Linked DNA regions of Callithrix jacchus. The protein of the gene in region 3 interacts with the protein of the main gene of each other region in a pairwise test. Links are inferred from orthologs where the notes say so. Each region holds a gene or a part of one and is shown on either strand. Other genes may lie near its edges. The genes, in order: HNRNPF, PRPF40A, HNRNPUL1, WWP2, SF3B4, DZIP3 and PRMT2.

Region 1 (4,084 bases), on a different chromosome or scaffold from region 3:
AAAAGATGTTAAATTAGAGAAATAAACCGTAACATGTAAATACAATTTTTTTCACATGCCTATAATCCCAACACTTTGGTAGCGAAGAAGAATCCCTTGAACACAAAAGTTTTAAAATCAACATAAGACACCACCTCTACCAAAAATACAAAAATTAGCAGGGTGTGCTGGCGACTGCCTGTGGTCCCAGATACTCTGGCAGCTCAGGTGGGAGGATCACTTGAGCACAGGAGGATCTCGGCAGCGAGCTGAGAGCACACCACTGCACTCCAGTCTGGGCAAAAAAGCGAGACCTGTCTCAAAATGTAACTAAAAAAAAAATTTTTTTTTTATAGAGACAGGGTCAGTGTCTGCGGCCCAGGCTGGTCTCCAACTCGTGGGCCCAAGCGATCCTACTCGGCCTCCTTAACTGCTGGGACTACAAGCGGGAGCCACAGCGCCCGGCCTATAATGACGCTAATGATCTAAAGGATGCATGAGGAACGTAATATCTACAAGGCAAAAAATCTTCTTGCTTAGGAATAAAGCACTCTCTTAATGTTCATCAAAAGTAACAATGTCTTATTTTATGATTTAGAAATTCTGTCTAGAAGAGCAAGCAGAGGTCACTTTTCAGGGCTCGCACTTATGGCATCTTTCGCCTACCTGGAAAACCCAAGAAATTTTCATCTTACTAGGAATTAAGAGACAAATACACACTCAACTTTTTAAAATGTAAGTAGAATTATACATGCATATTTTTGGAAGAATTAAGATGACTTGTGGAACAGAACGACTACAAAGACTACGCTTTCAGAACTCCCTGCTGCCTGAGGCTGCGGCCCTGACCCCGGCACAGAGCCCGCCCCGCGCGGTTCCGGGAAGCCGCCGCCGCCCGTTGCCCTTCGCGCGCAGCCGCCAGCGCGCGCCTCCTGTCCCGCCACGCAGCTGGCCGGTCCGAGCCCCCGGTGCCCAAGAGCAGTTTCAAGAACTTAACAGCCATTTTAGTTCGTCCCCGGGTCGCTAGGAGACCGAAAAGCCGCAGCGAAGGGCGCCCCGCGGGCGACGGCCGAGTCCGGCTCTCCTTCCGCCCTCCCGCTGGGACCCACGCGGCGCCGAGCGGAGGTCCCTGGCGCCTGGGGGGAGGGGTTCCCGCGACCAGGGCGGTCTGGCTGGTAGGGCGAGTCTGGCGCCCCGCTCCTCAGAACTCTAGTCCACGACTCCGAGGTCGGGAGAGCGGGGCGCCAGCGCAGCGCGACCTAGGCCCGGTCCACAAGTTTTCTAGAAGCAGGGCGGAATCGACGAAAATACTTCAAACTAGCAAAAAAAAAAAAAAGGACAACTAAGCCGAAGAGCAGGTATGAGTCGAAGATTTCCACCCCAAATACAAACACCATACCTCTAGGAACTGGAGACTAACCCAGAGACTGCGCTCCGAGAACACGCGGCGCTGCCGAGGAGGAAAAAGAGCCCAGGGCGGAGAGTGAGGGCTGAGGGAACCGGGCGTGGGAGGAGGGCGGAGCCAGCTTCCTGCCAGAGTCTATTGCAACTCCGGCGCCTGCGGCCACGTGAGCGCACGGCTTTCATTTTACTCAGGTATTACTACTCTTGAGACTAGGTCTCACTCCCGTCAGCCAGGCTGGAATGCCGCGGCACTATCACTGGTCACTGCAGTCTCGACCTCTCCGGCGCAAGCGACCCTCCCGCCTTAGCCTCCCGAGTAGCTGGGACAACAGGCGCGCGCCACCACGCGTAAATTTTTCTTTTAATTTTTAGCAGAGACGGAGTTTAACTATCTTGACCAGGTTGGTCGGGAACTCCTGGGCTCAAGACATCTTCCCGCCTGGGCCTCCCGCCGCGCCAAGCCTGTTCTCACTTTCAGAGCCCTCCGACGGTCGCCAGCGCTCCACCAGGAGGCCCGGCTATAACGCACCCGGCCGGCCATGTCTTCCCAGCCACCCGACTCCAAAATCTCAGGCCGCGGTGCTCACCCCGTGGGACCAGTGTCTGGGCGTACGGCTCTCTACCTACGACGCTGCGCCTCCCGACCCCAGTGGAGCCAGTCCTCGCCGGTCCCATGTACCGGCGCCTCGACCTCGAATCCCGTCAACCCAAATCTCAGCCCCTCAGTATGTGCAATCCTCCCTCGGCCCCAGATGTGCGGCGCTTGAACTCGGATCTCGCTTCCCTAATCCCAAATCTCAGGCCCAGCCCCACAATCCCCACCCCACTAGGCCCAATCGCCAGGGTGCGGGTACGCGGCCCCGGACCTCGAGTGATCTCCCGAATCTCAAATCCCAGCCCCACGGTCTCCACCCCCAGAGTACTCGGTCCCCGCTCGGTCCCGGGTGGCCGCCCCTCACCTCGGCCTCCGAGTCTCTACGTTCCCGCTCTCACATCAGGAACCCTGGTCGTCCCTCGGAGCACCTAGCGGAGGGTGAAAAGCGGGGAACTTGGCAGTTGTAGCTGTGGCAGTTGAGGCTTGTTGACCATCACCATGGAAACCCCCGGCTGCGAGCACGGGGCGGGGCCTAACAGAGGCGGGGGCAGGAACGCGACCGGTCCCAGTCCTCAGGGCCTGCCTGTCGAGTGCACGCGGCTTTGCCGGAAGCCCTCCTGCTCCCGGCGTGCCAGGCGCCGGCTAGGCCCTACTCCCCGGCTCGGCCCTTCGCCCTGGACACCTGGAAACAGAAACCCAAAGAGCCCGCGTCCCCACCCCGCTGCTACCTGCCGGCGTGACCGCAATTCGGTGCCCCAAGAACCTCACCTTAAGGAAGACGCGGCGCAGGCCTCCTTCCACGACGGACCGGAAAGACGCAAGGACCGCGGCAGGGTGGAGCCTTTGCGTATGGCTTCCGGGGGCGGGGCCGCGACGACGCTATTGTGACGCGCCCAGCGGGGAGCCGTCGATTGGGCGGCAGGCCGCAGGGCGGAGCCGACACTGGGGTGGGGGCAGGGGAGGCCGCGGAGACTCTTGAGCCCGGACGTTTCTGGAGAAGACAGGGGAGGGGAGGGGACGGGAGGAGGAAGAGGGAGTGGAGCGGCGGGAAAGATCCCTCTTACTTCCGCTGACTCCCTGGAGGAACGACAGTGGTGAGACTCGCAGGACTCTGAAATGTGCGCCGAAAGGACGCCTGATTTGAAGACTGGGCTGAAAGAAGGAAATGAGAGCCGATTCCCGGGCGTGGTGGTGCATGCCTGTGGTCCCAGTAATTTGGGAGGCTGAGGCGGGAGAATCACTTGAGCCCGGGAAGTCAAGGATGCAGTTTAGCCCTGAGTGCTCCACTGCCTCCAGCCTGGGCGTCAGAGCGAGACGCTGTCTCAAAAAAAATTTTTTAAGGAAAAAAATACACTGAGGGCAGGGCGCAGTGCCTCACTCCTGTAATCCCAGCACTTTGGGAGGCGGAGGGGGGCGGATCACGAGGTCAGGAGATCCAGGCCAGCCTGGCCAACATGGTGAAACCCCGTCTCTACTAAAATACAAAAAAAAAGGACGGCGTAATGGCGCGCGCCTGTAGTCCCAGCTACTCGGGAGTCTGAGGCAGGTGAATCGCTTGAACCCAAAAGGTGGAGGTTGCAGTGAGGCGAGATTGCGCTACTGCACTCCAACCTGGCAACCGAGTGAGACTCCGTCTCAAAAAAAAAAAAAAGCCGGGTGCGGTGGCTCAAGCCTGTAATCCCAGCACTTTGGGAGGCCGAGGCGGGTGGATCACGAGGGCAAGAGATCGAGACCATCCTGGTCAACATGGTGAAACCCCGTCTCTACTAAAAATACAAAAAATTAGCTGGGCATGGTGGCGCATACCTGTAATCCCAGCTACTCAGGAGGCTGAGGCAGGAGAATTGCCTGAACCGAGGAGGCCGAGGTTGTGGTGAGCCGAGATGGCGCCATTGCACTCCAGCCTGGGTAACAAGAGCGAAACTCTGTCTCAAAAATAAAAATAAATAAATAATAAAAATAAAACAGGCCGGGCGCGGTGGCTCACGCCTGTAATCCCAGCACTTTGGGAGACTGAAGCAGGCAGATCACGAGATTGAGACCATCCTGGCCAACATGGTAAAACCCTGTCTCTACTAAAAAATACAAAAATTAGCTGGGCATGGT
Region 2 (3,500 bases), on a different chromosome or scaffold from region 3:
GCACAGTCAGCCATAAACAGTGTAAAACAAATGAACATGGGCATGTTCGTGTACAACTATAATTACAAAAATTAATAGGCTGAATTTGTCTAGTGGATCATAGTTTGTCAACACTGATTTAGATCCTTAAATTTTATTTATATTCACACTTGCCCAAATGCTTAGAGTTACTATAGCACTAATATGAAACCAGTAAATAAGTTTAATAAGCCATTTAAAACTATTATGCTATTGGTCAGAGGAGCTAATGTTTTAGGTCAGTTAAGCGTTTATTTTGTCATTTGTACAGGGTCTTAAAAAGTGATTTAATAACTGAAGTTTTAAGAAACTGTATTTTTAGGGTTCATATAGCTTTTATTCTAAATGTCAAATTTAGCTCAACATCAAACATTCAAACAATTTAGGCATTATTTTTATAAATGAAGCAAAAATTTATTTAATTCAAAAATACCACATTTAAATTTCTCTCTAGTTTTACTCCCAAAAAAGAAGAGGAGGAGAGCCAACCAGCAAAGAAAACATATACTTGGAATACAAAGGAGGAGGCAAAGCAAGCTTTTAAAGAATTATTGAAAGAAAAGGTATTAATATTGCAGATTTTTGTTGTTTCTTAGCTTTTTGACATCAAGCATTATAGATTTTTAGGTGACACATAATAATTACTTGGTAAATGAGGTTACTCTTTAATTAGCACGTTGATGGTATTGATAATTCCAATCTCATGAACTGTTGTAACCAAATATCAACTAAATAAGTCTTGTTTTTTTTTTTGAAGAACTCTTTTGTGAAACTGACTTTCAACACAAAAACTATTGTGCACAAGGTACTTCACAAGCACATTTCTATCCAATATTTAATTTAAGGCTTTTTAATTCATAATAATTATTTATCTTTTATCAGTAGTTTAAGAAAAAGGCATTTATGATCTTTAAATTTCAGTATAAAGTTTTCATTTTAGTTCATAGGTGTATTACACAGATTTGCCTTCAATAAAAAACACATTTTTTTTTTTGTTTTTTGTTTTTTGGGTTTTTTTTTGAGACGGAATCTCACTCCGTCACCAAGCTAGAGTGCAGTGGCGTGATCTCTGCTCACTGCAACCTCTGCCTCCCGGGTTCAAGCACTTCTTCTGCCTCAGCCTCCCGAGTAGCTGGGATTACAGGCATCCACCACCTTGCGCAGCTAGTTTTTGTGTTCTTAGTAGAGACAGGGTTTCACTATCCTGACCAGGATGGTCTCGATCTCTCTACCTCATGATCTACCTGCCATGGCCTCCCGAAGTATTAGAATTACAGGTGTGAGCCACCACTCCAGGCCAATAAAATACTATTTTTTAAAACTTGTTTCAAACTCCTGCAAAGGGAAGAGCTTAATGTTTACAGTGAGTACTGTACTTGGTTCCCTATTATGTGACTTTATTCTTGTGTGACATTTTAATTTGTCATTTAAATGATTTTCAGCGGGTACCATCGAATGCTTCATGGGAGCAAGCTATGAAAATGATTATAAATGATCCACGATACAGGTAGTACTTCAATTTTTTATTTACTTTTCACTTTGACCATAGCAAGTGTAGCACATTTAAAAGTTGTATAGAAAGATACAACATTTAACTCCATTGACTTCTGTTGTTTAGGATACCTAGTACAGAGTTGTTTTATGTCTAATATAAATCGAGAAGTCAAAGGCTCATCAAACAATTCGAGTACCCTGCTGTATATAAAACAAGAATTATTTTAAAAGTAGAAATTACTTCCTTGTCTTTAATAAATTTTTGAAATTTTCTTAATTTATATGTGAAAACAATTTTACTATTTTTTCAAACCACTATTTCATTATTTTGCCTGTGTTTACTCTTACATGATATTTTTCTATTAGTGCTTTGGCAAAGTTAAGTGAAAAAAAGCAAGCCTTTAATGCCTATAAAGTCCAGACAGAGAAAGAAGAAAAAGAAGAAGCAAGATCAAAGTACAAAGAGGCTAAAGAGTCCTTTCAGCGTTTTCTTGAAAATCATGAGAAAATGACTTCCACAACGAGATACAAGTAAGATGTTCAGTGTTCCATGGCCTGTATTTACTACATTGTTGTTTGTGTCATCTTTTTTGCCATGTGCAGTAGCTGATCCAGAGCTTATTAAATAAAGCTAGATGTCAATGAATGTAGAAGTTTCATGAGGTACAAAATAAATCTGTAGTTAAATATACAATTTAACTTACAGACTTACTAAGTGTTTTAGAGACTGAAAGAAGGGGAGAAAGACTGCATTTAATAATCAAGTTTGAGGCCAGATGTAGTGGCTCACACCTATAATTCCTACAGTTTGGGAGGCCGCAGCAGGCAGGTGGCTTGAGCCCAGAAGTTCAAGACCAGCCTTGGCAACATGGGAAAACCTGTCTCTAGAAAAAAAAAAAAAAAATACGAAAATTAGCTAATCATGGTGGCACATGCCTGTAGTCCCAGCTCCTTGGGAGGCTGAGGTGGGAGAATCACTTGAACCCAGAAATGTCAAGGCTGCAGTGAGCCATAATTGCACCATTGCACTCCAGGGTGACAGTGAGACCCTGTCCCCCCCTAAAGAAAAAAGGAAAAGAAAAATTTGATTGCCGTTTAATTAAAAACATTGAAATTATTGTTATTTGTGGGGAAAAAAGAGGCTATTTTCATTCAGTAGGTATAGCATTTTTAATAAACTGTTTTATATAGCATTCTTCATTTTAGGTTGCTTTATTATGTAAAATTGTGGGTAATTTAATATTAAAATTTTTTTCATATGTTATTAAACCTATTTTCCATGTGTACCTCTTTGTTTTCCTCCGTATTCTAGAGAAGTCTGTAATTTAGTTCTGAAGGCATTTTGGTAGTCCGTGTGGCTGCCCCTAGAATAAGACGTAGTCTAGACCATAAACGTTGCCCAATGTGAATTATCCCCTCTATCTCTAAGGAGAGATGGAGGCATGTGCTTTTTTCTGTGTGTGTGTGTGTGAGAGATTATCCAGGAGTTTGCCTTTAATACGTTTATGAGCTTAGAAAGTGTTCATTTTGTAGTTTTAAAATTGGTTAAAATTAATTTTTGTTGTATAATATCTTTTTAACAAATAGAAAAGCAGAGCAAATGTTTGGAGAGATGGAAGTTTGGAATGCAATATCAGAACGTGATCGTCTTGAAATCTATGAAGATGTTTTGTTCTTTCTTTCAAAAAAGGAAAAGGTATTATTCTTAGTTTTGGTATTTACAGATAACAAAAGATGTTTTCTCATTCTGATGAGAAGTGGTTTTATAACTTGTACATTTTTATGGCTTAGTTTATCTAGTTTATTTGGTATAGCAGATTTATTTATTTATTGGAAGTAATCTTTACAGAGGAATGTATAGCTTCTATAATAATAAGCTTCTTTTCCATTCATCTACCATATAAAGTACTACTGATGTAGAGTCAGTGAGTACTCATTCAGCTATTTGTATTGTCATTAATTGGCTGTCTTATGCTAACTTTGGAAAA
Region 3 (4,218 bases):
GTGAGCCGAGATCGCGCCCCTGTACTCCAGCCTGGGCAACAAGAGCCAGACTCCATCTCAAAAAAAAGAAAGAAAGAAAGAAAGAGGAAAAAAAGAACTGGATGCGTCTGATGTGACGCATGCCTGTTTGTTTATCTCTGCGGGGTGTGCCTTTGTCTAAGTAGAGATGGTGTGTGGCTTCTGCGGGCTTAACGTGTGGCTCGGGAGGGAGTAGGAGTCTGCATCGTGTACCCCGATTGCGTCTTACTCGAGTTTTGCTTTCTGAGTTAGAGGCGACAGGTGGTGCGGCGTTAGGCACTGGGAAGCTCTCTGGCGTTTGTATTCATGAGCGCGAGCCTTAATGACTGATCCGCGGGTTTGAGCTTGTAGGTACAGACGCCAGATAGCCCGATTTACGAGAACAGCCGATTAGAGGATTCGGGAGAGCGGTCGGTGAACTTCTGGAGGTCTTTCGGGAGGGGAAGGCTCTATGGTAGCGTGCAGAGCGCCCGTTCCACGTCAGGTACCCACCATAGAGGAAGGCAGCTGCGGACTACCCAAGGGAAGGGCAACTTGCCTCCCGTTGTTAGTCTGGCCTCTACCCCCAAACCTTCGGGATTTCCTGAAGTCAAAATTTTGCTTTTTCTAAAAACGACTGGGTTTCTTTCAGATTACGAACTGTATATTCACTTAATCTCTATTCCATATACCTCCTACTACAGCGAAATTTGTGAGACAATCCTCTAAAGCACGGCCAATCTGGTGAACTTTTCCTAAAACGAGCCATCTCTGCCAGCTTTAGGAGCTAAGACAATAACTACGATTGGTGGGCAGATTGTTTTGAAACCGCCCTAACGGCAAGGGGCAGGCCCTCGGTGAATTCATCTGTTTCCGGTTTCTTAAAGGCAACAGGAAGGAGGGGTTTCTGCCGACACTCCGTTTCATTGGTTCTTGTGGTTTTACCCGCTCGGACTCCTCAAGGGGCGGGAGATGTAGACCAATCGGAATGTGTGTTACAGAGACACTTAGTTTGATGAAAGGACTACGCAGAAAGGCCGTGGGGCACTCATTCTGAGATCTCACCGCCGATTGGACCAAACTGTTACTCCCTTGTTTTCATTGGGCCTTACGGCAGGAGGCGCGGGAGAGCTATCCAATCAGCGCGCGCCCCGCCTCCTGCCTTTTCCCGCCCTCCGCTCCGGCCTCGGCCTCGACGTAGGCCAACGCTTCCTTCCCGGTAGCTCTTGGGCCTTCTCGTTGCCGTTTTTTGAAAACCGCGTTCTGATTGGCTGGGTCTCATGGCCGGCGCCCGTTGCCCCAAGCACTGACCAATTGGCACTCGTGTTACATCGGACGAGGCACGGGTGAGGGGGGAGAGGGCGGCGGCGGCCATTTTGAGCCGCCGCCGCCATTGGAGTGGGCCCCCCCCTTCCCCCTTCGCCTTCTGACAGGAAAGGTTTAAGGGGGACATAGCCCTGGGGGGCCGGGCCGGGCTCGGGGGCCACCCCGGGGGCCCGGGCCATGGATGTGCGCCGTCTGAAGGTGAACGAACTTCGCGAGGAGCTGCAGCGCCGCGGCCTGGACACTCGAGGCCTCAAGGCCGAGCTTGCTGAGCGGCTGCAGGCGGCGTTGGAGGCCGAGGAGCCTGACGACGAGCGGGAGCTCGAGGCCGACGACGAACCGGGGCGACCTGGGCACATCAACGAGGAGGTCGAGACCGAGGGGGGCTCCGAGCTGGAGGGGACCGCGCAGCCACCGCCGCCCGGGCTGCAGCCGCACGCGGAGCCCGGCGGCTACTCGGGGCCGGACGGACATTGTGAGAGTGCGCGGGGCGGGGGCCGGGGAGCCCGGAGCCTGGGCCGAGGAAAGGGCTGTGGGACGCGGGAGTCCAGCGCCTGAGGTCGGGGAGAAGACTAGAGGATCGGGGGATCCCGCCACCCGCCGCTGAAAAGGATCTGGGGACAAGGGCCCCGGCGCGACCGGAGGGTGGATCCTGACACTCGGTGCAGGGGGGACACTGGGGGAGGGGCTCTGGGTTTCGGAGATTAGAGGCCGGGGTGGCGGGGAGGATTCCGTACCGTGGGGCTCGGATCGGAGACCGGAAACTTGGTTTCTGGGGCCGGAGAGACTCGGAAGAACAAGACGTTTTCCATTTGGGCTAGTGAGGGTCTCGAAAATGGGGATCCTGGGGTTCGGAGCTCGGAGGGCTCGGCGGCCGTGCTCGCCCAGCGTGTGGGCTGGGGGGCGGGGAGCCGTGTTTCCAGGGTGGGGAGAGAATGTCCAGGTGTGCGGGGCTGGGAGAGTTTTGAAGAAGGAGGATCCTGGAGTATGCCGCTGGATGCGATCCTGGGAGTTCTCCCGTTTGCTACGGGGGTGGGTGGGTGAGGTGGAGGCGCTGGTGTCTGTGGCTGGGGAGGATCGAAGGAACTCAGTGCTCTGGAGGTTGGCTGGTGAGCATTTAGGGGGATGCGGGAGCTTGAACCAGAGGGCACCGCATCTCTCTTCCGCGGTTGGAAGGCCACCCTTGAGGCAGGCACAGCTTGGACATGTGGTGCTTTGAGATCTGGGGACTTTCTGGTTGGCCGCTAGAAGAGGTCCAGAGGCTGGCGGGGGAGAGGATGCTTCCCTGGACAAAAGATCCGGGGGTCTAGAGCTAGGAAGACTGAGGACAGATAACTCCGAGGCTGCTGCTGAATGGCCTGGGGCTGACTGTGGGCTTTCCGCGAACAGGGGGTAGCTGGGGGTGGGAGGGGTGGGGGCAGATGAGTTGGTAACATTCGAAGTGGATGAAGTATGTGGCGGGAGACAGGATCCTGTATCCAGCACTGAAGGAGTATGGAGCTGGTTGGGCGTATGAGGAGGGGCAGGCTGTAGGGAGCAAAGAGAAAGGAGACCTGTTGACTTCACTGGAGGCCCCAGAGTGGAGTGCGCAGAGTGTTTCTGGACCCGAGCATCTCCAAGAGAAATCTCGTTGGTTGCCAGAAGCAGTTTTTTATGTACCCAGGGAGTGGGGACCCTCAGGGAGCAGCAGGGAACCTCTGCATCAGCCAGGAAGTGGGACTCTGGGAATGAGTTCAGGTAGATCTGTGGTTGTCTGAGGAGAGGAAACCCTGGTATGGGACGGAGTGAATCTTCAGTTAGAGAAAAGCAGCTTGGTTGAGCGCAGTGGCTCACGCCTGTAATCCCAGCACTTTGGGAGGCCGAGGCAGGCAGATCACGAAGTCAAGAGATCCAGACCATCCTGGTCAACATGGTGAAACCCCATCTCTACTAAAAATGCAAAAATTAGCTGGGCGTGGTAGCGCCAGCCTCTCATCTCAGCTGTTTGGAAGGCTGAGGCAGGAGAATCGCTTGAACCCAGAAGGTGAAGGTTGCAGTGAGCCGACATCGCGCCACTACCCTCCAGCCTGGTGACAGAGCAAGGCTCTGTCCCCCCAAAAAAAGAAAAAAGCAGCTTTCTTTCTTTTCCCCTTCCCCTTCCCGTTTTTCTCCCTCCCTCCCTCCCTCCCTCCCTTCCTTCCTTCCTTCCTTCCTTCCTTTTTCGAGTTGGGGGTTCGCCAAACACCCAGGCTGGTCATGAACTCCTGGGTTCAAGTGATCTGGCCGCCTCGGCCTCCTGAGGTGCTGGGATTACAGGTGTGAACCACTGTGCCAGGCCTCCGGGCAGCTTTCTAGTAGGACTGGGAAATGTGCCTACTGGAGAGGTTAAGCAGTAAGTAGAAGGGATTCTGGCATAGAGTTTGTAGAGTTTTTCTGAAAAGAGGGCATCCTGGGACTTGGGGCTAAGGGAATGAGAAGAAAAATGAGATAACAGAAGAGACAGGAGTTGGGATTGGCATTGGATACTTGTTCATAAGAGGTAAGGTTTCCTGGAGGGAGATAACCCAAGTGTGGATTTGGGATAGACAGTGGCTTAGGAATTATTCAGAATCCAGGTGCTGGAAAGGGGACTTCCCATTGCAGAGACTTGTGAAGAAAGGAGTGGCCCTGTGTGCATGTCTAAAGCAGGAGGGACTGGCAGGAATGCCTAGCAAGAAAGGGTAGTGCAGTAGTAGTGACCTGGAGGTCTGGCCAGAGAGTCCTGTCTGAGAGGAGAGTGAATTAGGTGCTTTGGAGTGTAGTCCCTAGACTCAAACAGACTTTGTTTCAAATCTGGCTTAACAATATTGTCAAGTCACTTCATCTCTGTGAGCCTGGTTTCCTTGTGGGTAAAATGGAGTTAATAAATACTGTCTTTTC
Region 4 (3,500 bases), on a different chromosome or scaffold from region 3:
GGCAGGAAACCTAGCGGGTTGCAGAGAAAGATGGGCCGCCACCTGTGGCCTATGGGTCACTGTGGATCCAGGACCCTGCCATTTGCATCTGCCTCAATGGTGGCTACTAGCAGCCAGTCACATGATGGCACGAGCTGGGGGAGCCAGAGCTGAGGTCCTTAGTTACTAGCTCCAAGCTACACTTTTTCGCCACGTGAAAGATTTCAAGCCTGCTGGGTAGAATTTCTTTGAAGTCACAACAAGCTGAACTGTCTGCATGTTTCTCCAGGCAGAAAGGATCTCCGTGGCTTGTGTGCCTAGACCCACTGTCTCCTGTGTCCCCGTTCTCCATGCCTGTTCCTCAGGTCTCTCGGTTTAGGCTTTTTATCTCCATGCTTCCATACGTCTGAGGTTCAGTCGGTGCTGGGGGCAGGAGCAGGAGGAGGTGGTGGTGAGGATGGTTTCAAAAACTCAGGTGTCTGCAGGTCACTGTGAGGTCCTCAGGGCCGCACTCTGGGGCCTCCAGCAGGCTCGGTCTGGGTGTGCGAAGTCAGTTTTGCTAATCCAGTGGTCCTGTGTAGGTCCAGGCCACGTGGCCTGTCTCAGGCTCCACTCATGGCTGGTCTTTGGTCTCAGGCTGCTGACCGACTGGCGTTTCACCCGAGGTGTGGAAGAGCAGACCAAAGCCTTCCTGGATGGCTTTAATGAGGTGGCCCCACTGGAGTGGCTGCGCTACTTTGATGAGAAAGAGCTGGAGGTAAGTGTCTGAGGTTGCTGGGACCCCGAGCCCCTGCTTCTGGGGCGATCCTGCTATGTGATACGCTCACTGTGTACCCACAGACACTCACCAATAAAACTCCCACTTCGACAGGGCAGATGGGTTTGATTTGGCATCTCAGTACCCATCCTTTTCTAGACACTTGTTTCAAGAAAGGAGAAACTTCTGGAGGCTGAGGCAGGAGAATCTCTTGAACCTGAGAGACGGAGGTTACAGTGAGCCGAGATCACACCACTGCACTCCAGCATGGTGACAGAGCGAGACTCTATCTCAAAAAGAAAAAAGAAAAAGGGACTTACATTACCCATATGATTAACGCTGACACCAAAAACAGCTAGTTGAAGACGTTTGGGGCAGTGTCAAATGCTGGCCAGTGGCCGATGAGTAGGGATGGACCACTAAGGATGCTGATTCCTCCTCTCCCCAGCTGATGCTGTGTGGCATGCAGGAGATAGACATGAGCGACTGGCAGAAGAACACCATCTACCGGCACTACACCAAGAACAGCAAGCAGATCCAGTGGTTCTGGCAGGTGGGTCTCGGGGCCCAGGTTTTGGCAGGGACATTTGGGCCATTGGCCAAAGGAAATGGGTCCTGAGGAAACCTCATGCGCAAGGACCTTCAGCTTTGACTCGGTCCTCACCTCCCATAACTTGCAAAGGGAGACGATACACCTGCTTTGGGATGAACGGGGGCAGTTCTAGTGGAGTGGTGGCCAGCACGTGTGACAGGATGTTGTCAGTGGTGGACCAGCGCGTGTGACAGGAGGTTGTCAGTGGTGGACCGGTGCATGTGACAGGAGGTTGTCAGCCTTGGACCAGCTGGTGTGCAGGGACAGACCTGCAGGCAGATGGCACCTGTCACTGGCTGAGAGGTCCCCTGCCAGCCAGATGGGACAGGAAGGCAGGGGTTTGGCTCCAGAAAACAGAAAGAGCTGTCATCCTACGTATAATTAATGTGTTGATTCCTTAGTGTGCATGGGTTTTGTTGTTGTTATGAAGTATAGCATATAAAAAACCATAACTATTACAGATATTCTTAGTATATGTCTGTATGCATATGTATATATACGAACTTTTTGTAGAGGTGGAATTTGTATAACATACAATTAACTATTACATTTTTTTTTTTCAATAGAGACAGGGTCTTGCTATGTTGCCCAGCCTGGTGCTGAACTCCTGGGCTCAAGCTGTCCTCCCATCAGCCTCCCAAAGTGCTGAGATTACAGGCGTGAGCCACTGTGCCCAACCCATTTAAGTTTTTAAAATACACAATTCATAATAAAGTAAATTTGGTACCAGGAAGGGGTACTGCTATACATATACCCAAAAATGTAGAAGTGACTTTGGAAAAAAAAAAAGATACACAATTCAGTGGCTTCCCACCCAGGCTGAGGTGGGCAGATCACTTGAGATCAGGAGTTTAAGACCAGCTTGGCCAACATAGTAAAACCTCCTTTCTACTAAAAGTACAAAAAAATTAGCTGGGCATGGTGGCAGGTACCCGTAATCCCAGCTCCTCAGTAGGCTGATGCATGAGAACCACTTAAATCTGGGAGGCGGAGGCTACAGTGAACTGAGATTGCGCCGCTGCACTCCAGCCTGTGCAACAGAGTAGTGGCTTCCAGTACATTCACAGTGTTGTGCAACTGTCACCACTGTCTAATTCCAGAACACTTAGTCTCCCCAGAAAGCAGCCTTCTACCCATTAAGCAGCCACTCCCATCTTGAGTCTATTCCTAAAAAGCAGAACTTGGGTGGGAAGAGAATATCCAACCGGAGGCGTCCCTGAGACCCAGGGATGTCCCATGGACGGTGGGAATCTTCTGCAAACACATCCTCTTAGCAAAAGCCCTTCCGGAGTTTCTCAGGTTGGAGGCTGTCACCCCCTGCCCAACCTTGCTTTGTGTTCTCAGCCCCAAAGAGGGGCCCCGCTGACCTGGAGAGCTCCTCATTAGGGTGAAGTGCTGGGCGCAGGGGCCGCCTGACTGTGCCTTGACTTGCGGAGTTGCAGGTGGTGAAGGAGATGGACAATGAGAAGAGGATTCGGCTGCTGCAGTTTGTTACTGGGACCTGCCGCCTGCCCGTTGGGGGATTTGCTGAACTCATCGGTACGTGTTCCCTTGCCCTCTGGTGCCCTGGCTGGCAGTGAGCACACCTCAGAGGGAGGAGAGACCTGGTGTCTTCCTGGTAGCAGGTTGGCGGGATGGGGAAGAGCTGTGGCCTCTGTGTCCTAGAGCCAAGCCTGTCTGTGGGTGGAGCTGGAGGGTCCCGCTTTGGGACGGGGCGTCTCTGTTGACATCCGATGTGTTCTGCCTTGGATCACAGGTAGCAATGGACCACAGAAGTTTTGCATTGACAAGGTTGGCAAGGAAACCTGGCTGCCCAGAAGCCACACCTGGTGAGCCTGCTGGTATTACTGGGAGATCAGAGAGCCTCAGACTTGATGAGCTCCTGGGGCAGCCCAGTGGGTGTAGTGTTTGCATGCCCCTGGGGTACTGGGTTGGAGAGATGGGACTGTGATGGGCATCTGATCTACCATGTTTTACATGTGCAACACTTCTGTTCCAGTAGTCCAGGAGCTTCTGGCCTCCCGGGGCTGACTGTCCCGCCTCCCTCCTCTCTTTAGCTTCAACCGTCTAGATCTCCCACCCTACAAGAGCTATGAACAGCTGAGAGAGAAGCTGCTGTATGCCATTGAGGAGACCGAGGGCTTTGGACAGGAGTGACCAAGGCTGCCCCTC
Region 5 (4,092 bases), on a different chromosome or scaffold from region 3:
GAGCTTACAGGCATGTGCCACCGTATCTGGCTAATTTTTTGTATTTTTAGTAGAGACGGTGTTTCTCCATGTTGGTCAGGCTGGCCTTGAACTCCCAACCTCAGGTGATCTGCCCGCCTCAGCCTCCCAAAGTGCTGGGATTACAGGCATGAGCCACCGTGCCCAGCCAAGAATTTGTTTTCCTTTTTTCTTTCGAGACGGAGTTTTTGCTCTTCTTGACCAGGCTGGAGTGCAGTGGCACAATCTCAGTTCACTGCAACCTCCGCTGCCCAGGTTCAAGGGATTCTCCTGCCTCAGCCTCCCGAGTAGCTGGGATTACAGGAGCAAGTTACCATGCCCACCTAATCTTTTGTATTTTAGTACAGATGGGGTTTCATCATGTTGGCCAGACTGGTCTCAAACTGCTGACCTCAGGTGATCCACCCAGCTTAGCCTCCCAAAATGCAGGGATTACAGGCAGAAGCCACCATGCCCAGCCGAGACAGGAATTTCAAATAGGAAGACACGTTTCAAGTACATCAGAGGTCAAACCAGATAAGGAGAACTGTCCCTGAGATTTGGCAATTAGGTCACCACTTTGAGGTGGAGTTAGAGGAGAGAATGGAACTAAAAGGTAAAGAAACAAAAAACAGCAAGCATAGTCTGCTCATCAGAAAAACTTAAGAAATCATTTCAGACTGGTAGCTGTTAGAGTGTATTTTGTATGTTTTTTTATAAGAGAATGTCTGAAGAAAAGGAAAACTCTTAAACTGTTACTGTTGAACAAAGGGCAGCAGGGTGAGTGGTGACAGAGATGCTCTACCAAGCTCTTCCCTCCCTTTCCCAACAAAGCACACCTACCTGGATGGGGCATCCCACCTGGTGGGAATGGATGAGGATGTGAGTGTCCATGACCAGGATGTCCTGCCCCTGGGGTTCCTGCCGACGGGGGGCCGTGTCCTGCAGCCCCAGGCGGCATAGGTGGTGGGGGCATGGCTGGAGGTATCCCAGGTGGGAGGGCTCCAGGAGGCGGCACTGGGGGTGGGAAGGAGCCAGGAGGAGGCATGCCTGTAGAGGAAATGGAAGAAGGAAGAGTTAATGGTAGTGGGGAGAAAATGTCTTCAAAGAGCTGACCATATTTGGCCTCTCCAGCCACGGCGAGTTCTTTGCCCCTCCTCCCAGTGCTGGAAAATCAAAAGCAATGTTAGAATAGTCAAATAACTTCAGCCTCCCAAAGATACCCAACAACATTCTCCTCCACCACTTCCCATCACTCACTGACTTCCCATCACTCTTCCCATCACTCATTGACTCAATGTCCCTCTTTCAGACTCTTTTTTCTTCCCCTGCTGCACTCCTCCAACCTTAAGGACAAACATATTTTAACCAAAAGCCTTACCTGGTGGAGGAAGCCCAGACCCCAGTGATGATACCACAGGATTGGGGGCAGAGGGTGGAGGAGGCGCATCTGCAAACAGCTGATGAGGACGGTCAGCCTGGGAGAGTGGGTTCTGAGCTGCCAAAAGTCGTTCAGCTGCTGAGCCATGGCGCTCACCCTTGGAGTCCTTCTTGAAGGCGTAAGATACAGTGATAGGGCGGTTACAGAGGTACTGCCCATTCATGGCTTCAATTGCTGCATCCGAAGCATCAAATGAAGCAAAATTAATAAAGGCATAACCTTTGGAGTTGCCTGTGTCAGGGTCCCGCATAATCTTAGGGGTTTGTAAGATGACCCCAAAGGCGCTGAAAGTATCATAAAGCAACTTCTCATCAATCTCAGGGTCCAGGTTGCCAATGAAAATGTTGGCCCCTACATCCAGGTTTTTGTTGTGAGCTGATGCCTTGTTCACCCGTATTGGCTTCCCATAGAGTTTGATCATGTTCATGATCTTAATGGCATAGTCTGCATCTTCCTCACTCAAGAATTCCACAAAGCCATAGCCTGCAGAAGTGGAGAGGAGGTTAACAACCTAAGTGAAGAGATTCAAAATGGGGTAAAACTCACCTCCCCTCTGATCACAAAGAATGAGAAACAACCTCACTTTATTTGAGAATGGCTCCAGAAATAAACTGAACTGAGGCTTAAAACAAAGAAATCTTTAGGTTGCTCATCTCATTCCAAAACAGTTGTGAATACTGCTGGGACCCTCCAGGAGCAATTTGCCCCTTGCCATGTACTCACCTTGGTGCTGGCCAGTGACTCTATCCTTTGGCATGTGGGTGTTGACTACCGGTCCAGCCTGGAGAAACAGTTCCCACAGCAGCGGTTCACTAACCTTCTCATCCAGGCCCCCGACGTACACAGTGGCATCTGAAGGGAGGGAGCAGAAAGTCAGGGCAACGGTGAGAGTATAACAGGAAAGGAGGTGATGGAAACATGAAGATGGAACCCAACCAGAGGAACTGGGGACCGGGGCAGGGTAGGAGCAAAAAAAAAAAAAAAAATACGTTTAACCCTTAAACCTCTTTCTTCCCAAGACTTAGGAAATCCTCTCAAGGCTAATTTAGTATTCTGGGTGGATTTTTTTGAGTGGGAAGGCAGCAGGGGATTGGACATAAAAGTATCACACCAACAGGCCTAAGCCAGCACCCAGCCACCCCGCCCCCAGCAGGCATGGGGCCGGTTTCGCGCCCTCTGGGGAACCGAGGAGTTCAGCTTCCCACCCCTGCAGAGGCACTGCTGACCCTAGTCGGGACCTCCTCGCCATGCTGAGCGCATTCCAGATTCTCCCCCTCCAGTTACCCTGGTTCCGCTCGGAGATCGGCCCGGCAGCCATGGCGAAGGAGCTCCCGCCGTCTCCCAGCAGCGGTTCCGCTCTCTGACCTCAGCCCGACTTCCACTTCCGGGGCGAAGGCTGACGTATGGTGGGCGGGGCCGCAGAAGAGGAAGTGCCTGGGAGCAGCCGCAGCCATCTTAGGAGCCTCCTTGTTTTAACCCGGCTCGACCGGTATAGTCTTCGCCTCCCGCGCAGTTGTTCTGTTGCTAGTGGTCTAAGCGAGGAGGGCGAAATGGAAACGCTCAGACCCTCTTAATGCTAAGCTTGAAAAAATCACACTGCTCCCAAAAATGTAAATTCGAACTCTGAAAGGACAAGGCTTTACTTTTGCTATATTTTGTGGCCACTGATTCTTCTTTTGTTTCCCAGAGAAGAACGTGCTGAAGAGTCCCCGCAGCCGGAGGACTCGGCTGCTTTCAGGCGCAGAGGGAAGCTTCCATCTCGCCTGCAGCCTTCTTGCAGATTTGGCCTCACAGCCCTGATTTGGCCTCACAGCCCTGATTTGGGCTGGAGGTATTGGTTTTCCTTCAGGGGAGGAGACTGCGGAATGTCTGAGCTGGAGTGACGTCTGCGCTCACTTCGTCGTAATAACATGGGGAGGGGAAGGGTGGTGGGAATCAGGCTGCTCCGAGGGTGTTTGACCACAGCTGATGGGTGGATGGGCTCAGAGACTTCAGTATGGATTTCTAGAACACTCTGGCCCCAGAGACATTTTTTTTTTTTTTTTTTTTTTGAGACAGTCTCGCTCCATCGCCAGGCTGGAGTGCAGTGGCACGATCTCAGCTCGCTGCAACCTCCGCCTCCTGGGTTCAAGCAATTCTCCTGCCTCAGCCTCCCGAGTAGCTGGGACTACAGGCGCGTGCCACCACACCCAGCTAATTTTTGTATTTTTAGTAGAGACAGGGTTTCATCATGTTGGCCAGGATAGTCTCGAGCTCTTGATCTCACGATCCCCCTGCCTCGGCCTCCCAAAGTGCTGGGATTACAGGCGTGAGCCACCGCGCCCGGTAGCGACAACATCCTGACATGCTCGTGCCCCATCTAACCCTTTCCCCAAACTGCACTTTAATTCTGCAGCGCCTCACTAGACCCAGTTCCTCTGTTTCCTTATCAATAATATGGTGGATGCCTTCCTCTCTTGGGTCACACCCACCTTTTACCCACCACTCTTTGCTACCTAGGAGAATCCTTTATTCAAACACAAGAAACAATGCCAACAATGTGTATAAATACCATGCTTTAATGAACCCCTTAAATAGCAATTCCACTACAAAAATACACAGAGGAGACAGGGTGTTTCCTGTATCCACCTCATTCTCAGAAAACTGTAAGGAAA
Region 6 (3,162 bases), on a different chromosome or scaffold from region 3:
GCAGATATGTAATTTGACACAGGAAAAGATAATCATACAAAAGAAAGGTTTTTCAGGGAAGTGAACAATAGCCAATTCAGTCAACCCATGTTTTTAAGACATCATTTCAAAGATATGATATGTGGTACCTGGTACAGACTTATACTTTGCATTTGCTTTGATATGAAGAGAGATCCACAAAATGCCTAATCCCAAAAGTTCTCCAGGAAAGATCCTTAGCTGTTGACTTTCCCCTTTGAAGTTTATAAGGTCCTATAATTTGGAAAATATATGTTCAACAAAACTTATCTTATTCTTTGCCATTGCCCATGAGTAGAAAGCACATAATTCATTTATGTTATTTTTTATGGCTATAGTTAGTGGGCCTATTATATATAGTGCTTAATATTAATCCTCTCTCATCTGACCCACCCCTCCATTATTTATATAGGGAAAAATGATTTGTTTTTGGAGAGTCAGTATTCAAGCAAATGACTTAACCGATAGTTCATGGTCAAAAATTACTATCATTATCACCGAAGAAAACAATCTGAGAAGTATATTTGTCATTTAGGGATTTTAACTGCAAACACCATAAGCATTTCATACCAAGTACTAGAGACTTTCACAGATTAGTTATGACTTTTTCTGGATTATAAATGAGAACAGTATATAATAAACCAAAGAAAGAATATAGCAAGTTTCTCTAATTTCTTTGTCAGGAGGAATTGCTAGTCATCTTGAAAATGGGGGTTGGAGAAATAATTTCTAATAGAATAAACTGGCTAAAAGATATTGTGCATTCACCACCTATTTTGCTCAGCAAACCATAGGAAGTGCCATGTTTGCAGCAATTGTCTTGACAAGCCATAGGGTAAGGCTTTAAAGATCCACCCAAAGAAGTGACAACTGCCTTTGCTAGGCTAAATTTAAGAGACTGACATAAATCTTTTTGCTCCTTAGTGCATTAGACCATGGTTGATGCAACAGGGGACATGTCCAACCTGCAGACTCCACGTTTTGCTACCAGAAGAATTCCCTGGTCACCCTAGCCGGCAGTTGCCCAAGATCTGATATAAGGTGGGGGGTGCCTATGCAGGGGAAGCTCAGTTTTCAGACTCCAAAATTTAGATCTGCCTTTTATTATGAGCTGCTTGTGTAAGTGGTGTAAAGCTGTGTGCTCTTCAATACAGTGCTAAAGAAGCCAGCTAATCTTATCAAAACAGCAGCCAAAGAAGTCAGGACAAATCTTCGTGACTTGTGAACTGAACTGAAGGGGCTTGAAGCAGATGGAATTGTAATAGTTACACTATATTTGCTCTTATCTTAGTAGGTTTTTTTTTGTAATGGAAACATGATAACTGTTAGTATATTTCTTAGGATGTTTTGATGTTTTTTCTTGTCTTTTTAAAATTCTTATTTCACTCATCCTTTACTCTCCCCTCAAGTATTCTACACTATAATTTTCTGAAATAAATTTAAGCAAGAGGAAAAGGGAAATAGTAAGGAAGTAGGAAAATCACACAGAAATTCGTATTCCTTCTAACTTTTTTTTTTTTTTTGAGACAGAGTTTTGCTCTTGTTGCCCAGGCTGGAGTGCAATGGCGGGATCTTGGCTCACTGCAACCTCCACCTCCCAGGTTCAAGCAGTTCTCTCGTCTCAGCCTCCCAGGTAGCTGGGATTACAGGTGCATGCCACCATGCCCTATATTTTTAGTAGAGACAGGGCTTCATCATATTGTTCATGCTGGTCTTGAATTTCTGACCTCAGGTGATCCACCCGCCTCAGCCTCCCAAAGTGCTGGGATTACAGGCATGAGCCACTGTGCCCAGCACCTCCTAACTTTTAAAACCTTCTTAAAAATATAATTGACTTAAGTTTTATCTCAATATTCCCCATTCTTTTATATCCTCTTACATAGGCACCCACGAAGAGATTATGAGCTACTTGAAGGTAGAGGGCATACAGTGGTGTGTCAGAGCTGGCTTATAATGGTTTGTGAGTAGCAATCATTCATTTGAGGAGTTTTGTGAGACAGTTGTCAAATTGTTGGTAGCTTGAAATCTGCCACAGTTGGAGGATTTATACCGTAGAAATTGGTAAATGCTCTAAGTGAAGACCCACCTTTCCCTCAAGAGCTAGTTGTGAAACCTTTACCAGCACACCAGTAGACCTTGTCTAAAACTTCTTTGTGTTCCCAGTGCCTTGCCCAGTAGCTACAGGATAAATTTTACCAGAATCAGAAATCAGGAAGTGGTAAGAAAAGGAGTTAATATGCAAACTAAATTATTCACTCAATTGAATAATTGAGATCTTCTGTTCCTTGGACTTTAATCATTTGCATTTTGGAGAAATTTTTTTTCTGCTTTAAAAGTCTGTAATTTCACTTTCTTATGTCAGAAGAGGAGAAAACTATTTGTCCGTAGTTGCTTTTTGTGACAAAGTTAATACACACTAAGATAAGTTACATATCTAAAGCTTGTCACTAAGAATTTTCATTTTTAGGGGTAAAAAATCTATTTTGAAAATAGTGTTGTGTGAATTGTGTAAGTGTTGTACATGTCTCTGGTTTCAGAATTAAAAGAATTCAGAGTTACCATGTGAGATCAATGTCCTTTGGTTTGTATTCACAGTTTCATTTAATTTATGAGGAAGAATAAATATTTCCTGACTCAAAAGCAATTTTACCTGTATATTTCAATCCAAATATATTTTGAAAGTACTTTAAATCTCTATTCAAAACATCTGCTTCTGTAATTGTATGTTAAACATATTCTTCTGTAATGAGAATAGACTGGAACATGTAAGGGAAAAATATCAGAAAATGATGGCAGTCATCTAGAGATTTAAAATACCAAGAATGTCTTAGAATTGCAGAATTTAGAATTTATAGAGCCCCACCTTGTCTAGCACCTTGTATTAGTCCGTTTTCATGCTGCTGATAAAAACGTCCTTGAGACTGGGCAATTTACAAAAGAGATTTGATGGACTTAACAGTTCCACATGACTGGGAAGGCCTCACAATCATGGTGGAAGGCAAAGAGGAGCAAGTCACATCTTCATGGATGGCAGCAGACAAGGAAAGAGAGCGTGTGCAGGGAAGCTTCCATTTTTAAAACCATCAGATCAGACCAGGTGCAGTGGCTCATCCCTGTAATCCCAGCACTTTGGGAGGCTGAGGC
Region 7 (4,017 bases), on a different chromosome or scaffold from region 3:
TGAGGGCTAAGAGAGATGAAAAGGTTTATAATATTTAATAAAATAATAAATGAAAAATTCCCAAGTCTAGCAAGAAATTTAGATATCCAAATATAAGGGGCTCAATATTTTCCAAAGAAATAAAATGCATAAAGGACTTTGCCACGGGAGATGACAATCAGACTGTTTAAAGTCAAAGTGAAAGAGAAAATTCTGAAAACATAAATAGAAAAGTAAAGTGTCTTGTCACCTATAAAGGAAAGCCTACCCGACTAACAGCAGACTTCTCAGCAGAATCATTATAAGACAAAGTCCTGAAAGAAAAAAAGGGCAGCTAAGAATTTTATAGCCACCAAACTTAACTTTCATAAATGAGGAACAAATGTCTTTCCCAGATAAAGAAATGCTAAGGAAATCCATCACTACTTGACTGGTCCTACAAGAAATGCTTAAAAGAGTCCTAACTTGGAAGCAAAAGGATTACATTAACCATTATGAAAACACGCGAAAGTATAAAACTCATAGGTAAAGTAATTACACAAAGGAGGAAGAGAAAGGAATCAAGTGATACCACTATAGAATTCCACCAAACCACAGTTACAGAAAAATAAAAATAAAAAAGCAATAATAAAACAACTAGAAAACAACAATATGGCAAGGACAAAACTTCAGATATTAATATTAGCCTTGAATGTAAACTAATTAAATGCTCCACTTAGAAGATACAGTTTGGTGGATTGCTGTCTACCATCCTAGGAGCAGGGGGGAAAAAACCCTCATCTTTCCTGTTGGAAGTGAGCTCAAACTCCACAAAGGAGTTACCTGCCTTTTCTTGCCATGGAAGCAGGAAAAAACTTGCCTTCCTTGTGTTGGATGCAAGGACCCCTGTCCCCCTTCCCCCCCACACAAAAGGAGCTGTACAGCAAAATAAACTTTAGAGCTTGACCAAATCTGAGTAGATCAGGGATTCTCTGGAGGGATTGCTTCCATGCCTCAGCAAATTCTCCTATTTGTTTGAGCCATAAGGATAGCTCAAACTGGTACCAAAGACCGATAGGAGATTTGTCAAAGCCCTTTGGGGTTACCAAAATGTGAATAGTAGAATACCTCTACTCAGAAGCCCTTTGGGGTTACCAAAATGTGAATCTCAAATATCTGATACAGGTCTCGGTCCATTTAGGAAGTTTATTTTGCCAAAGTTAAGGATGCATGTCCATGAAACGGCCTCAAGAGGTCCTGAAGACATGTGCCCAAGGTGATCAGAGCACAGCTGGTTTTATACGTTTCAGGGAGACATGAGACATCAATCAAGATACGTACGATGAACATTGGTTTGGTCTGAAAGGTGGGACAACTCGAAGCAAAAGAGGGATAACTTGAAGCGGGAGGCGGCTTCCGGTTCACAGGTAAGTAAGGGACGTTTGCATTCCCGAGTTTCGGGTTGGCCTCTCCACGGGAGGTAATCAGCTATGCACTTACCTGAGCAGAAAGATGACGCTGAATAGAATGGGAGGCAGGTTTGCCCTAAGCGGTTCTCAGCTTGACTTCCCCCTTTGGCTTAATGATGTGGGAGCCCCAAGATTTATTTTCCTTCTACATTTTCTATCAGACCTACGGTCTGCCTTGATGCTAACGCCGGAGGAGTATAGTAAGGCTGTCCAACCCCTCCTTCTCCTCAAGGCCGGAACAGTCCCTCAGGTTGAATTTCAGGGTGTCCTGGTCAAGGAGGGAGTCCGGTCAGATGGCTGCAGGGGGCCCTTCGAATTTATGTCTGTTTTACAGGCATCAGTGCCGCCCATTTCTCATGAACCCCACACTTCCTCTCAGCAAAACAGAAACGTTATCATTCTGCTTCCATTTGTCCAGAAGAAAGGCAGAGGGCGCACACTGTGCAGCGCGGATGGGAAAGTTAATTGAATTATTTGAGAGAAAACAGGAAGACGTGCGCGGGCGCGTCCTCCACGGAAGCCTCAGCCATTTTGTGGCTCGTAGGGGTTCTGTTTCCCAGGCCGTGAAGTGCCCAGCTCCGCCCCCCGCCCTAGGTCGGACTCCTGCCCACGCCCTGCACCCCGGGTCGGACCCCAAGCCGAGAGACGCGGCTGGGCGGTTGGGGACAAGCTCTACACATGGGGGCGCTCGGCCTCGGGTTGGCACGACCGCAGAGGCGCAGACATGCAGTGCGCCTGCGTAGGACGCTGTCCTAGCTACAGATGGTCTGTGCGCAGTGCGCCTGCGCGAGCCGAGGGCGGTGGCCCGGCTTCCCAAGAGGGCGGGGCGTCTGGGGACGACGCCTGCGCGGGGGCGCCTGGCTGTGGGCTGGGCCTTCTCGGCTGACGGCCTGCGCGCACTGCGCTTGCGCGGGTTGAGGGCGGTGGCTCAGGCTCCTGGAAGGGACCATCCGCCCCTCGGCACTGGCAGTGTGAACGCGCAACTCAGCGGAGAAACGCGGCTGAGGTAGGTTTCCTGATGGGCAGCTCAGGCGGCTGGACTGCACGTAAGGCAAGACAGGCCAGGTGAGGCGTCCTCGCACTCCCTGTACGCCGCTGGCAGACTTAGGCCTCCGCCCCCCTTTGGGACCTCCGATCGCCCTCGCGTTGTGTGCTTCCTGTCCTGGCGTCCAAACGGGAGCTCGGCCCTCGCCACACCCTTCCCAGTGCGCCGCGCCCCCTCCCGGCCACGCCCACCACCCAGCGCCGGCTCCGGCCACACCCTCCGCGGTCACGCCCACCTCACCACCAGCCCTGCCACGCCCTTCGCGGTTACGCCCCACGGGCTAGGCGATCTCTGTCCTGAAGCTCTAGGCGCGCTCGCAGCCTGACCCTGTTGTGCTCCTGCGTCCACGCGCGGCCCCCTCGCTTCTTGCCCGCTTCTTGCCCCGTTCTCACCCGCCTTCATTGGCCACCTGTTCCCACTCCCCATGAGCCTGTTCCTCCCAAGGGCATCTTAGGTGGGCCCGGATCCTGCGCGCACCCCAGCACCCACTCCAACCCATCCCAATTTGGACGCCGGTTTTCCAATGAAAATATAATTCTGTAAATCAGTATTTGTAACTATGAACATCACAAAAATGAGCATCAAGTCTGAATTTAGAAGTGAAGCTTGCATTTTAAACAAAGAATTGCCATGCGATTGCAAAAGCACATTCGTCCCAGAGCGGAGTGTGGGTTACACTGTTACTGGAAAAATAAAAATTGAGAAGGAAAAGACCGGAAGATGCACACCTTCGTTCCTGTTAGTGGAAACACCAAAGTCCCAGGTAGGGACTTTCAATTGGAATTAAAGCTGTCACATTTCTAAGAAAAGAATGAATACTGATTTATATTGCTTTAAGTCGACATTTGATCTGACAGAAACTAACAGGCTTCAGCGAATGAGTAAGATTAACACCTTGTGGACTAGTGAAGAAAACACGCACTGTTTGAAGTTTATGATTTTTAAATGCTTTTGTCTTTGTGAAGAATTGTGATTATAATTTTCACTTCTATACCATTCTTCGCACATACACATTTTATTTCTATTTGGTAGAGGACCTTTGTCATGGACCTTAGAAGTTAAGTGAACTTAATTATTAACGTGGCAAGTACTTTGTGTCTCCTTCTCTTTTTAAAAGTAGAAATGGAGAAGAAAATGAAATAAAGCAGGAGTTATGAGGCAGAGCCCAAGAGAACTATGGCAACATCAGGTGACTGTCCCAGAAGTGAATCACAGGTAATTTCGGTTCCAGTTCCTAAAAATCTGTGTTTAATGAATGGGAACATTACAGAGAGTTAAGTGTCACCTCACAGATGTGATGGAACTTGACTTGTGCCTTGGAAGGTGGCCACACAGTAGAATGCTTAAATGTGAAGATTGTGAGGCAGAGGAGACGCGGTGTCTGTAGGATGACATCCTGCACTGGGCACCATCAACCCTTCCAAAGAAATAGCCCCAAAACAGCAGCATCATTTAGGCTTCCATTTTTGGTACGTGAACTGGCAAAGCAAGCATATTTTCTGAGCTGTTCAATAAAATTTCATGCGTAATACCAGCAATATATCG

The links.
Region 1: the proteins of HNRNPUL1 (region 3) and HNRNPF interact in a two-hybrid assay, tested with the Homo sapiens proteins (3 studies listed by BioGRID and IntAct). The link is inferred for Callithrix jacchus from reciprocal best matches to the Homo sapiens genes HNRNPUL1 and HNRNPF.
Region 2: the proteins of HNRNPUL1 (region 3) and PRPF40A interact in a two-hybrid assay, tested with the Homo sapiens proteins (2 studies listed by BioGRID and IntAct). The link is inferred for Callithrix jacchus from reciprocal best matches to the Homo sapiens genes HNRNPUL1 and PRPF40A.
Region 4: the proteins of HNRNPUL1 (region 3) and WWP2 interact in binary tests that used the Homo sapiens proteins (3 or more experiments, as listed by UniProt). The link is inferred for Callithrix jacchus from reciprocal best matches to the Homo sapiens genes HNRNPUL1 and WWP2.
Region 5: the proteins of HNRNPUL1 (region 3) and SF3B4 interact in binary tests that used the Homo sapiens proteins (3 or more experiments, as listed by UniProt). The link is inferred for Callithrix jacchus from reciprocal best matches to the Homo sapiens genes HNRNPUL1 and SF3B4.
Region 6: the proteins of HNRNPUL1 (region 3) and DZIP3 interact in binary tests that used the Homo sapiens proteins (3 or more experiments, as listed by UniProt). The link is inferred for Callithrix jacchus from reciprocal best matches to the Homo sapiens genes HNRNPUL1 and DZIP3.
Region 7: the proteins of HNRNPUL1 (region 3) and PRMT2 interact in a two-hybrid assay, tested with the Homo sapiens proteins (2 studies listed by BioGRID and IntAct). The link is inferred for Callithrix jacchus from reciprocal best matches to the Homo sapiens genes HNRNPUL1 and PRMT2.

What each region holds. Positions count from the first base shown.
Region 1 is NC_133513.1:36,094,541-36,098,624, forward strand, and holds the start of HNRNPF (heterogeneous nuclear ribonucleoprotein F), read right to left. Parts: upstream 2,801-4,084; 5' UTR 2,747-2,800; intron 2,407-2,746; 5' UTR 2,343-2,406; intron 1,453-2,342; exon of another isoform or gene 1-1,452.
Region 2 is NC_133507.1:77,403,625-77,407,124, forward strand, and holds part of PRPF40A (pre-mRNA-processing factor 40 homolog A), read left to right. Parts: intron 1-472; coding exon 473-581; intron 582-1,460; coding exon 1,461-1,525; intron 1,526-1,878; coding exon 1,879-2,043; intron 2,044-3,099; coding exon 3,100-3,208; intron 3,209-3,500.
Region 3 is NC_133523.1:36,547,234-36,551,451, forward strand, and holds the start of HNRNPUL1 (heterogeneous nuclear ribonucleoprotein U-like protein 1), read left to right. Parts: upstream 1-1,418; 5' UTR 1,419-1,500; coding exon 1,501-1,795; intron 1,796-4,218.
Region 4 is NC_133521.1:27,519,610-27,523,109, forward strand, and holds part of WWP2 (NEDD4-like E3 ubiquitin-protein ligase WWP2), read left to right. Parts: intron 1-615; coding exon 616-736; intron 737-1,184; coding exon 1,185-1,289; intron 1,290-2,770; coding exon 2,771-2,867; intron 2,868-3,084; coding exon 3,085-3,157; intron 3,158-3,327; coding exon of another isoform or gene 3,328-3,385; coding exon 3,386-3,485; 3' UTR 3,486-3,500. UniProt on the Homo sapiens protein: E3 ubiquitin-protein ligase which accepts ubiquitin from an E2 ubiquitin-conjugating enzyme in the form of a thioester and then directly transfers the ubiquitin to targeted substrates.
Region 5 is NC_133519.1:9,859,729-9,863,820, forward strand, and holds the start of SF3B4 (splicing factor 3B subunit 4), read right to left. Parts: upstream 2,801-4,092; 5' UTR 2,757-2,800; coding exon 2,723-2,756; intron 2,291-2,722; coding exon 2,162-2,290; intron 1,922-2,161; coding exon 1,379-1,921; intron 1,048-1,378; coding exon 841-1,047; intron 1-840. UniProt on the Homo sapiens protein: Component of the 17S U2 SnRNP complex of the spliceosome, a large ribonucleoprotein complex that removes introns from transcribed pre-mRNAs.
Region 6 is NC_133516.1:99,759,451-99,762,612, forward strand, and holds the end of DZIP3 (E3 ubiquitin-protein ligase DZIP3), read left to right. Parts: intron 1-942; coding exon 943-1,053; 3' UTR 1,054-2,662; downstream 2,663-3,162. UniProt on the Homo sapiens protein: E3 Ubiquitin ligase proteins mediate ubiquitination and subsequent proteasomal degradation of target proteins.
Region 7 is NC_133522.1:52,206,645-52,210,661, forward strand, and holds the start of PRMT2 (protein arginine N-methyltransferase 2), read left to right. Parts: upstream 1-1,217; 5' UTR 1,218-1,385; intron 1,386-1,458; exon of another isoform or gene 1,459-1,967; intron 1,968-2,343; exon of another isoform or gene 2,344-2,433; intron 2,434-3,131; exon of another isoform or gene 3,132-3,235; intron 3,236-3,589; 5' UTR 3,590-3,648; coding exon 3,649-3,687; intron 3,688-4,017. UniProt on the Homo sapiens protein: Arginine methyltransferase that methylates the guanidino nitrogens of arginyl residues in proteins such as STAT3, FBL, histone H4. Acts as a coactivator (with NCOA2) of the androgen receptor (AR)-mediated transactivation.